Linked DNA regions of Drosophila melanogaster. The protein of the gene in region 1 interacts with the protein of each later gene in a pairwise test. Each region holds a gene or a part of one and is shown on either strand. Other genes may lie near its edges.

Evidence for each region.
Region 2: the proteins of Sirt7 (region 1) and ergic53 interact in a two-hybrid assay, tested with the Drosophila melanogaster proteins (one large-scale study listed by BioGRID).

What each region holds. Positions count from the first base shown.
Region 1 is NT_033777.3:29,053,683-29,059,713, forward strand, and holds Sirt7 (sirtuin 7), read left to right. Parts: upstream 1-2,244; 5' UTR 2,245-2,461; coding exon 2,462-2,626; intron 2,627-2,846; coding exon 2,847-4,997; 3' UTR 4,998-5,522; downstream 5,523-6,031. Other genes in the region: CG11842 (uncharacterized protein), read left to right, coding at 1-94; CG11843 (uncharacterized protein), read left to right, coding at 866-950, 1,091-1,364, 1,419-1,734, 1,809-2,084.
Region 2 is NT_037436.4:8,533,126-8,538,745, forward strand, and holds ergic53 (ergic53), read left to right. Parts: upstream 1-1,851; 5' UTR 1,852-1,880; coding exon 1,881-2,061; intron 2,062-2,248; coding exon 2,249-2,967; intron 2,968-3,042; coding exon 3,043-3,518; intron 3,519-3,765; coding exon 3,766-3,891; intron 3,892-3,956; coding exon 3,957-3,993; 3' UTR 3,994-4,888; downstream 4,889-5,620.

The DNA.
Region 1 (6,031 bases):
CGGAGTGGCCTGCGACACACCCGATCTTCCCGCGATGTACACACGGGTTCACTTCTACCTGGACTGGATTAAGCAGCAGCTGGCCAAAAATTAGAATTGATATTTACATACGAAAATTTGACTCCACAGTTCTGTGGATAACTTATCAAAAGGAGTTTAACTAACTTCAGTTTTGAGTGCATTATGGGAAACAATAGTAAATGGAAAATAAAGCTGAATTGATTGAGTATTATTCACATACAGTGTTCTAGAAAATGATTTGATTTAAGTGCAAAGTCCATGAATATAAAAATACTTTTGAACATGAACGCTAGTTCTCCGGGAATTTATGTATTATCCTGAGCAGATTGTACTAACGATTATGAATTATGATTCTAGTCATTCACTAAACGCCGAGGCAACCACACGATGATTGCCTCGGCAATCCGGCACGATTGTTCTTCTGGAAACTGGGTGGCTGGGCATGTACATAAGGGTGTACTTTTACCTGGACTGGATTAGGCAGCAACTGGCCATAAAATAGATTTAAATTAGAGATTTGAATTAGAAAAGTCTATCGAGATCACCGTTCTATCAGAAGTAGTAGTTTTTTTCAAATATATATTTTATATATATAAGCATTTAAATAACCTTTACCCAGTAAGAAGATACAAGATACGTAAGATCAGCCTTGCTTACCCACTTATAAAGAAGTAAAAACAAAATCGTTTTATTGTGGAATAATTGTTAAAAGAGCGGGGATTTCATTAGCTTTTACCCGCTTTAGACGCACCTCCATTGGGCTTTCCGCAGCTAATTGATCGGTAACTAATTGGGAGCTAAACCCGTTCGGATCGCACAGTCGATCACCGATCGCCACCTGAAGATGAAGATATGGAGGCTGTTCTCCCAGCTGATCGTTTCGCTGGCATGTGTTTTTGGCCAGCAGCCGGATATGGATGTTGTGGGATGTAAGTGGACAAAGAAGTAGCCTTGCAAGTGGCTTTAAAGATCTAGTTATATATTATAATATATTAACGTGTTGACCACTGATCTGAGCTGTTCTTTTTGATCAATATTGGATTATCAAATTGAAAATCGCAATGTTCAGCTTGCTCTAGATACAAGAAGAGCGTTTTCGAGGAAAGAATCGAGTTCGGTTTCCTGTTGCCCGGAGCTTCGATTGAGAGTCGGATCATAGACAACTGCAGGAGCTACACGCCGCTCATCGTCGGTGGTCATCCGGCCCAGCCCAGGGAATTTCCGCATATGGCCCGCTTGGGGCGTCGCCCAGATCCGAGCAGCCGTGCCGACTGGTTTTGTGGTGGCGTTCTGATCAGCGAGCGGTTCGTCTTAACCGCAGCTCACTGCCTGGAATCGGAAAGGTAAGCAGAGGTTTTTCCCTGCTCAAGTTAGGAATAAATATCTCATTTTTATAGGGGAGAGGTGAATGTTGTGCGATTGGGCGAACTCGACTTCGATTCCTTGGATGAGGATGCGGCGCCCAGAGACTATATGGTTGCAGGGTATATAGCCCATCCGGGCTACGAAGATCCGCAGTTCTACCATGATATAGGTCTTGTCAAACTGACGGAGGCCGTGGTCTTTGACCTATATAAGCATCCAGCCTGTCTGCCGTTCCAGGATGAACGCTCTTCCGACTCCTTCATAGCCGTTGGGTGGGGAAGCACTGGCCTGGCGCTGAAGCCATCCGCCCAGCTGCTGAAGGTGAAGTTGCAGCGCTACGGAAATTGGGTAAGTAAATTGGCATGGGATATTATAAATCCCCATGGATAATCCACATTAATAAATATATTATTTCCTTATAGGTGTGCAAGAAACTGCTTACCCGGCAGGTGGAGGAGTTCCCTCGAGGATTCGATGGAAACAACCAGCTCTGTGTTGGTTCGGAGATGGCCCAGGACACCTGTAACGGCGACTCAGGAGGACCTTTGCTAATGTACCATCGGGAATATCCCTGTATGTACGTAGTTGTGGGAATCACGTCGGCCGGTTTGTCCTGTGGGTCACCAGGAATACCCGGAATCTACACTCGCGTCTATCCTTATTTAGGCTGGATAGCCCGAACTTTGGCCACGTTTTAAATTACATCTGGATCTGTAAATTTATATAAATTTTTTACTAAATACTTAAAAAATTAAATTTAAAAGCATTTAACAGTCCGATTAATTTAGAATCGCTGCTAAGTGGAAGCGAGTCATTCCTACGAAATCGATAGACCGAACATATCGATGCAGTCATCGATAGTTGTTTACCTTTTTTTCCCAAAAAAAAGAAACATTTACAAAACAAAAGTCGTCGCTGGATTTGGATTGTAAATTACCAATGACCAGAGGTCTGAAGCCGCATGGCGAATACGATGTAAGCGGACATCCTGCGCAGGATTCCACATCACAATTTCCCCTTCCTGGCTGCGGCGCATTTTATTTTGTCCCCGCATAATTGCCAATTGTGCCGGATCATGGAGAAGGATCTGGGTGAGGAAAAGGACCAGGATCAGGAGCAGAACACTGAGATGGAGCCCAAGCAGGAGATGGACGTGGCGCAGTCTTACATAACGCGGGCCAAGATGAATCCTGCCAAGAAGGATAACGAGAAGCGACGACGCAAGGATGCCATGCGAAGGGTAATTAGTGCGACTGTGTGTGTGTTTTTACGCTGGCAGAGCTTGTTCCAATTTAGATTGTTTATAAATTACAAAGTTCATGTCAAATACCAATCTTTGATTATATTTTAGTGTCCAAAAGATCAAACCCCCTAAGTTATTATAAAATAAACCACGGTCTATATATTAAGCCATGTATGTACGCCTATCAAGCCAATGCTAATCTATGAAAATGTTCCAGGTCTCGATGATACTGCGAAAATGCGACTCCATGCGCACGACGGAAGATCGACAGTTTTTGGAGAAACACCCGGACATGGTGAAGACGACCAAGAAGCGCAAGGAGCGGGTAGAGATATACAAGGAGCGGGTTGTGGAACGCGAGGATGCGCCGCACGTGATCGAGGCGAAGGTGGAGCAGTTGGCCAACATCATTTCGCAGGCTAAGCATCTAGTTTGCTACACGGGAGCCGGTATAAGCACGGCAGCCCTGATTCCGGACTATCGCGGTAGCCAGGGAATATGGACACTGCTCCAAAAGGGTCAGGACATCGGCGAGCATGATCTATCCAGCGCGAATCCCACCTACACGCACATGGCACTTTATGAGCTGCATCGCCGCAGATTGCTGCATCATGTGGTCTCCCAGAATTGTGATGGCCTGCACTTGCGATCCGGATTACCGAGAAATTCGTTGTCCGAAATCCATGGAAACATGTACGTGGAGGTGTGCAAGAACTGTCGACCGAACAGCGTTTACTGGCGCCAGTTCGACACCACGGAGATGACTGCCCGCTATTGCCACAAGACCCACCGCCTATGCCATCGCTGCTCGGAGCCTTTGTACGACACCATTGTGCACTTCGGAGAGCGGGGGAACGTCAAGTGGCCATTGAACTGGGCGGGAGCCACTGCCAATGCGCAGCGAGCGGATGTGATTCTCTGCTTGGGCTCCAGTCTCAAGGTACTCAAGAAGTACACTTGGCTTTGGCAGATGGACCGGCCTGCCCGCCAGCGAGCAAAGATCTGTGTGGTCAACTTGCAGTGGACGCCCAAGGATGCGATTGCTAGCATAAAGATCAATGGGAAATGCGATCAGGTGATGGCCCAATTGATGCATCTACTCCACATTCCAGTTCCCGTTTACACGAAAGAGAAGGATCCGATTTTCGCACATGCTTCGCTTCTGATGCCCGAGGAACTGCACACGCTTACACAACCATTGCTGAAGAATGCCGACGAGGAGGAGGCCTTCACCACTACCACTGAGGAAACGCAAGACTCGACTATCTCCAGCGAGAGCTGTAGCTTTAACTACAGTGATCTTCCCATCGGCAAAGGACCCCGCATTCGCACACCCATCAAAAATGGTCGAAGAGTTAAGACTAACCTGGAGCTCCGACAGAAATTCAAGACGCTCAATGGCCAGGACGAGGAAATTAAGGTGGAGCATGTGAAAACAAATGGGGAGGTTAAAACAGAGAAGGACTTAATCACGCTGGAGTCGTCCATTAAAATAGAGACTGAAGTTAAGCTGGAGAAATTAGAGTGCTCGGACACCAATTTTCAGCAGGAGTTGAAACTTTTGGAGCTGCTACCAAAGCTAGAACCACTTTCGCTCAAAGAAGAGACGGAGGAAACGCCGAGCAATGGTTTTCCAGAGCTGCCAAAACTAGTCGCCATACAAAAAACTCATGCGGAATGTTTGTCCGCGGTCCCAACTGAATCAAGACTAAAGCCGCTTCAGCTGCCACCGCTGGTGCCCATTGGAGCACCACTGTCCACACCCTTTGTTGAGCCCAAATTGGTCCTGCCACCTGCCTCTCAGTCGTCCAGCATACAGATAAAGAGCGAGGGCGATGGTGATTCCAGCACAGAGAACGATAACGAAGAGGAGGAGGAAAGCGAGCTGGCCCAGATGGATTTGTTGAGGCAAAACAACGATGAGGAGCTGCTTCGCCAATTACCCACGTGGTACGATGCCAAGTACGCGTATTCTGGTCTGCATAGCATCCTGATCCCACCACCAGCGGATCTCAATATTTGGAACTCGCAGGTGGTGCCGAACTTTGCGATGAACAGATCCGCTGCCAGTTGTTTCTTCTGCTTTGATCGGTATGCGGAGCTGGAGTGCCAGTTTTACCGGCGTTGGAACCTCAGTCAGCGCAAACACAAGAAACGGGCCAGAAGCGGTCGGTTCGTGGTCTGCGAGTGCTGTCCAACTTCCGACGACGACGATGACTACGATGAGAATATATCCTTGGCACACATAGCAGCGGCGGAAACGGCAAAGCGAAGACAGCAGCTGAGCACGAGTTTTCCACGGAAGTTGGCGCGAACCCAGGCAGGATGGTATGGCAAGGGCTATAAGAAAGGTCGGAAGAGACGGTAGATTCCCATTTATGTACGGCCGTGATTCCTCCCTAAGATAAGAAGGTGAAATGATTACCCTTGAGTCAATGGCTTTTTGGAAACGTTTGATCTTATACTTGATATGAAGGAGCTAGCTGTTTCTTTTCTACGGAAAAGATCGACCTGCCCTCACCGAGACATATGCTCGCTTCAATAGTATTTTAGCTATAGGTTTATAAGTCATAGATGATAGTGGCAGCTAGAATAGAATAGGGTTCCTTTTATTTAGACGTGTTTTTTAAAATGCTCTATTTGTCAGTCTTTGATTATATTAATAGGTCAGCCCGTTTTTGTCTATTTTCGATATTTAGTTTAATTTTAATGGGTTTGATTGTATGTCACAATTGTGTAACTCTTGTCCTGGTATTTTGGTGCACTTGCTGCAGAAATCATTTGACCTTGTTTTTAATTATTAATATAGGTTTTTACTTTTAGAACGCTAACCTAACATCCGCCCCTCTACACACGTAAGTTAAATAAAGAAAATAAGCATTATGGTATAATGAAATGCATTCGATTTTTATTCGCCCTTCAGTTGCAGTAACCAGTTAAAAATAAAACTGCAATAGATTCGCTTTCATTATGTGTAGAACCAAATTTATTCATTAACTTAAACATAAAGTATTGCTATTTTAGTTATAGTTTTGCGATCCCGTGTGAGTGTTTGTGTGTGATTAGGCATTCCATGCTGGGAGCGAGCGGAGACGAAGAATTGGCTTCCCCATCAATCTTCAGGAGGTGTGTGAGTCTCACGTGGAACATTGCAAAATACCCAAGAATCAACAGAAGACCAGGCAACGGAAACAAACAAGGGATAACTACACACATAGAAAACAGCAGGTTGATTAGATTAACGCTATCGATCGATATACTCGGGGGCAGGGCGTGGGCGTGGGTTCGGAATTTCCAGGGTGCATGTAGCGCACAAAACATAATATCTAGAGCTACGCAGAGCAGCCAGTGGGCCAATATAAAAATACAAAGTTTCACAAATACAGGACGTGGACACGAGAA
Region 2 (5,620 bases), on another chromosome or scaffold:
CCAACCGCAGCGAATCTTGTAGCGTATTATGTGAATTGCAGCGAATCTTGTGTATTAACTGCATTTTTTCCGCCAAGCCTATAGAACCTCTTGAATTATTATTTTTTGTATAATTTCATTACATTGTTGTTTACATTATTAGTTCACAGAGTTAGACAAAACAGAACCACAGACACAGCCGGTTGGCGCTTATCAAACGCATTTGTTATCCAGTTTATGAAACACACAACCTCACACCCACACACAAGCGACGCAATTCATCAAACTCGTTTTATTTTCGTTCCTAATTTTGCTATTGAACTGCGTTCGAATCCATTTCACACCCAATTTAATGTAAGATGTCTTGAAATTGGCTAGGTTATAAAGTGATCTTGAATTTAGATGAAAACATTTGAAAAGCATGCCGTGATGCTGTCAAATGAGAAAAGGAAGTAACAAAAAATGGATTGGATCTGGATCCCACAATCCTCTAATTACTGATCTTATACACGAAAGAGAACCTAAAAATTACGATATATTATATATAAATATACATATATATTGTAGGATATGTATACATACATATACTTTTTGTATTTTGTAGTCTAGAGTGCGCACGTTTACTTTATGCGAGTTTAACATTCTAAACCCAAAATAAAGGTATGTCCACCGCTGTTATGATTTTCTACAGTACTTAACGACTTGAACGCATATTTCCTCTTTCGGGAAATGTACACAAAACCCATTTAAGCTTAATTTATTATCGTATTTGTAATAAATTGAAAAGATTATTATATTGCACCATCATGCATAATTTAGATTTTCGCTACACTGTAGCGCCTTCGTTTAATTATAATTTTGTAATAAATCAAGCTAAAACAAAGACTTTGATTTTGTTTTAATCGATTTGAGTTTTTCTTTTGATCGCGCACAGAACTAACACGAAAGTGATTGTGATTCAAAATAAGTAACTAACATTTGTAAAATGGCGAAACTTGCGGCACGATCGCCCCTAATGACTATCCCCCACACACCGATCTGCACACAAAGCTATCACTTGTGTAAACTGAGCAACTAACAATATTTTATGAAGCCCACACTATGTGCTACCGAGGCATTAAAACCTATAATAATTCTAGCTGTAAGCTCTACGAAAACTACAAACGGTAGGAAATCAGAAACAAAGAATAAAGATGTAAACATATATACACACACTGTGCTAACTGTGCTAAAGGAATTTTGGAGATATGGATGTAATACTACTTTGGTGATATCACGCAAAAGGCAATTGAAACAACTAACGAAATAATTTTACAATAACGTATTGATAAACATGTATCTATGTAAGCACATGCGAATGGCGCGTATTTTGCTATATTTATGTTTATTTTCTAACGGGACGTAAACACTTTAAATTTTCAAAATAAATGTTTTTCCACCTCAACATCATAAAGTGATAACAAGATCTTTTGAATTTGGTGGGCATTTGCGATATCGATATAAAATCTACCGAAATCGATAGCGATTGTATTGTCGCTGCCTGAATATTTTTTAGATCACTTGGTTCTTGTTTCTTAGAATGCATGGAAAAACTTTTATCTTATAGAATTTTAAATTGTGATCTAAGCTGAAGTTAATTGTTATAGGATGGCTGGTTTTATTTAAGTTCAACATTTATATACGAAGGATGGCCTAAATAAATGTTCTAATCAATTTATATTATATTACCTTAATTGTTAATGGTAGACAATACATAAAATAATATTTGATTTTAAATTATACAATGCTTTTAGAACATCCAGTGCGATACCACCGCCTATCGGTGCCGGCTGGTTATCGATATCATCAGTTTGCACCATCGTCGCCCACCCACCACTAGTTGTCAACATATAATTGCAAAGATGCGGCCCACATTCCTGGCCATTTTGTGCTTCCTGGCGTGGAATCCCAGCTCCGAGGCGACCGGCAATCTGAGTCCTGGAGCCGTGGGCGTGCACCGTCGCTTCGAGTACAAGTACTCGTTCAAGCCGCCGTATTTGGCACAGAAAGACGGCACCGTGCCGTTTTGGGAGTACGGGGGAAGTGAGTACGAGTGGAAGACGCAGCTCCACGTCAGTTGTTTTGGCCCACTCGCTGCTGGTCTGCGGCCATGGGTGCGAGCGAGATGGCGCGAGGCGGCCAAGTGTACACGCAGGCACTTTGTTTGGATGTCGTTTTGACCACGGTTTCGGGTGTTTCTATAGCCACAACTTGTTGCTCCTCATTTCAGATGCCATCGCCAGTTCGGAAAGTGTGCGCGTGGCGCCATCGCTGCGCTCACAGAAGGGTGCCATCTGGACAAAGTCACAGACGAACTTCGACTGGTGGGACGTGGAGATCGTGTTCCGGGTGACGGGACGTGGCAGGATCGGAGCCGATGGATTGGCCTTCTGGTACACCACGGAAAAGGGTGACTACAATGGGCCTGTGTTCGGATCCTCGGACCGCTGGAATGGTCTGGCCATCATGTTCGATTCCTTCGATAATGACAACAAGCACAACAATCCTTACATCAGTGCCGTGCTCAATGATGGCACCAAGCTGTATGACCATGCCGAAGATGGAACCACTCAGCTCCTGAGCGGTTGCCTCAGGGATTTCCGTAACAAGCCCTTCCCTACACGGGCGCGAATCGAGTACTACAACAACGTGCTTACCGTCATGATCCACAACGGAATGTCCAACAACAACGATGACTACGAGCTGTGTCTGAGAGCGGATGGCGTCAATCTGCCCAAGAACGGCTACTTTGGCATTTCCGCCGCCACGGGCGGTCTGGCCGATGACCACGATGTGTTCCATTTCCTGACCACGTCGTTGCATGCCGCTGGACAAGTTCAGGAGCAGCCCAAGGTGGAAAACCAGGAGAAGCTTACGCAAGAGTACAAGGAATACCAAGATAAACTGGAGAAACAGAAGCAGGAGTACAAGAAGGACCATCCCGACGAGGTAATTGCCACGCAGCCAGCTGATAAAGATGTCTTATCGCTAGTTTTGATAATCAACTTTCGTATAATCCCACAGCACAAAGACGAGGAGGACTGGGAGGAGTTCTACGAGTCGGAGAACCAGCGTGAGCTGCGTCAGATCTGGCAGGGTCAGAGCCAAATTGCCGATCACCTACGCGAACTTTCCCGCAAAGTGGATGAGATTATTGGCCGCCAGGAGACCACGCTGTCGCTGGTCTCACGTAATGCTGGACAGGCTCTGCCTCCGCCCGCCGCCGGCGGAGTGCCACAGCAACAGCTGCCCGTTGGCGCAGTCAGCAGGAGCGATGTAGATCTTCTGCTCACTAATCAGAACATGCTGCTCAGTTCCATCCGCGAGATTCGTCAACTGGTTGGCGATATCAATGTGCGCACTGATAACATTCAAACGAATCAGAAGCATGCGCCCACAGCACAAATCCAATCCACCGGCTATGATGTACAAACGCTCATCGCCGAGATGCGCGATGGCATGAATCAGGTCAAGCAGGGCATCACCCACGTGGGCCAAAGGTGAGGAATACGCTCAAAGTCTATTTTAAGTTTCCTAAAGCTGTTGTCATCGAAGTTATTCTGAGCTCGAATTAATTTTAACCTTTTCAGCCATATTTATACTAATTTTTCGTATTCCACATTATGAAATTAGAGTTTTAACAAGTTTGATTCAGAGGAACATGTTTATGAGTTTTAGACTATTATACTTTATTGTCATCTTTTAAGTACCTCCTTGATACTCAATATGCATTCCCTTACCTTGCAGATTGGCAGCGCCACAGGGAGCAGCGCAGGTGGCCAATTGTCCCACGGGCAATTGCGTTGGAGTCACATTGTTCCTAAGCGTAACTGTTGTGCAACTGCTGCTAGTCTTCATCTACAACGTCTTCAAGTGAGTTCATGGAATCTTTAAGCGTGGATTCGAAACTAAACAATCTAACTTATTATTCCTTGCAGAAACCGCAGCGAAGCACAGGCGAAAAAGTTCTATTAGGCGAATTCGCGACTTATTGGGATCGTAACGAATAACAAACACACAAGCATACACCCACAGAAATCACGAGGAAACAGATTCGCACACCTGACTAGGCAGCAACTAAATTTAGTTAAAATGAAAGATTTAAGACTTCAGCGTAGCATGCTCTACCATTATGTGTAACTGTTTGTTTTTTAAATAGAAGTCTGTTTAAGAAGTCAGGTCACGAATACAAACTCAAGTCGTTACTTAATCAAAGCAAGAACAAGAAATTTGATCAATGATGTATGCCTCATGACAATGCCACGCAATACAAAACGAAGAAACCGTCGAAGAAGCCACAAGACAAACTTCCCTTAGTAATAGCCAACAGAAGATGTTTCATATTTGTTTTAGCAAGTCAAGTCGAAAGTTTCACTCCATTCTCAACTCTGCATATCATGTGTGCAGGCATTTATAAGAAGCACAAGAAAATCTATCTAAAAAAAAATAAAAATAAAAATGGCAAAATCTATATAAGTACGAAAATTCCGTAAACGTAGCAAATTTTTGTAATATCTTGTATACTTTAGAGTTGAGATGAATCCATCAGGCTCGGCTCTTGAAACTGAATTGGCAACATAAATCTTTTTTCCCATTTTCATGCGCCAAATGGTCAACAAAGCTAGTTAGCCAGCATTTTTGTTATTACGCCAGAAAGTGAATTAATTTAATAATTATGATGAACTGTCTCACTAAGTTTTTGTTCGGTTCGCATCGTCACTGGTGCGATGTAAGGAAGTTTTCTACTGAATAATCTTAATATACATACTGATAAATTATAAAACAATTGAAGTGAAGTGTGTTTTTATATATGTTGTCCATTCCAGTCTCGATAGAAATGTTTAAAGTGAAAATAAAAATCAATTTATAGAAAAATCTATCTCCAACTGTTCAACTTGATAGTTTTAATCTGCGTCCTCATTTTATTTTTATACTTTTCCGAATGCGATATTATTTTCGCTGATGTCGACAGAGGAAAAAGTTTATTTCTTGAAAAGTCCTCGCAAGCATAAACTAGAATCCCTGTCAGTTGCCCATCCCCATCTTCATCCTCCCATCGATGACAATGCGGCAAAAATGGCGCCACTTGGTCGCCAGAATGCGTGGGGCTGGGGAACGAGTTGGGTTCTGGTGAACTTTGGCCATAAAATGTAACTGCCAATGGTGGCATTGTGGGCAGGTCCTCTGTGGTCTGAGTACCCATTCCATCGCATTGGGGAAAATCCCAGGAAAAGCACAGCCAAAGATAGATGGACAGAAGCCAACGGCAGTCGCGGCCCATGCAATAAATTCTCTACGGGATCGGGGAATGGGTTACACAGTTCTGGTGTGCGGTTGGATGGTAGCTTCGCCTATGTGCTCCGTTTCCTATATACTTTCACTGCGCAGGAGCAGGACCAGTTTCCAAGTGGTTTGGAAGGGGGACTTGAACGGCTATTAACTTTTTATAACAGCCAATCGGCATGAGGCTTGCAAACAGAGAAAATGGTTTCGTGCCGTTGGGTTTTTCCAGCAGGGATGGGATGTGTGCACTGCAACAAAACTGACTTCATAGTATACGATTTACACACGGCAAACTAAACTAAATCATGATCTAGTACAT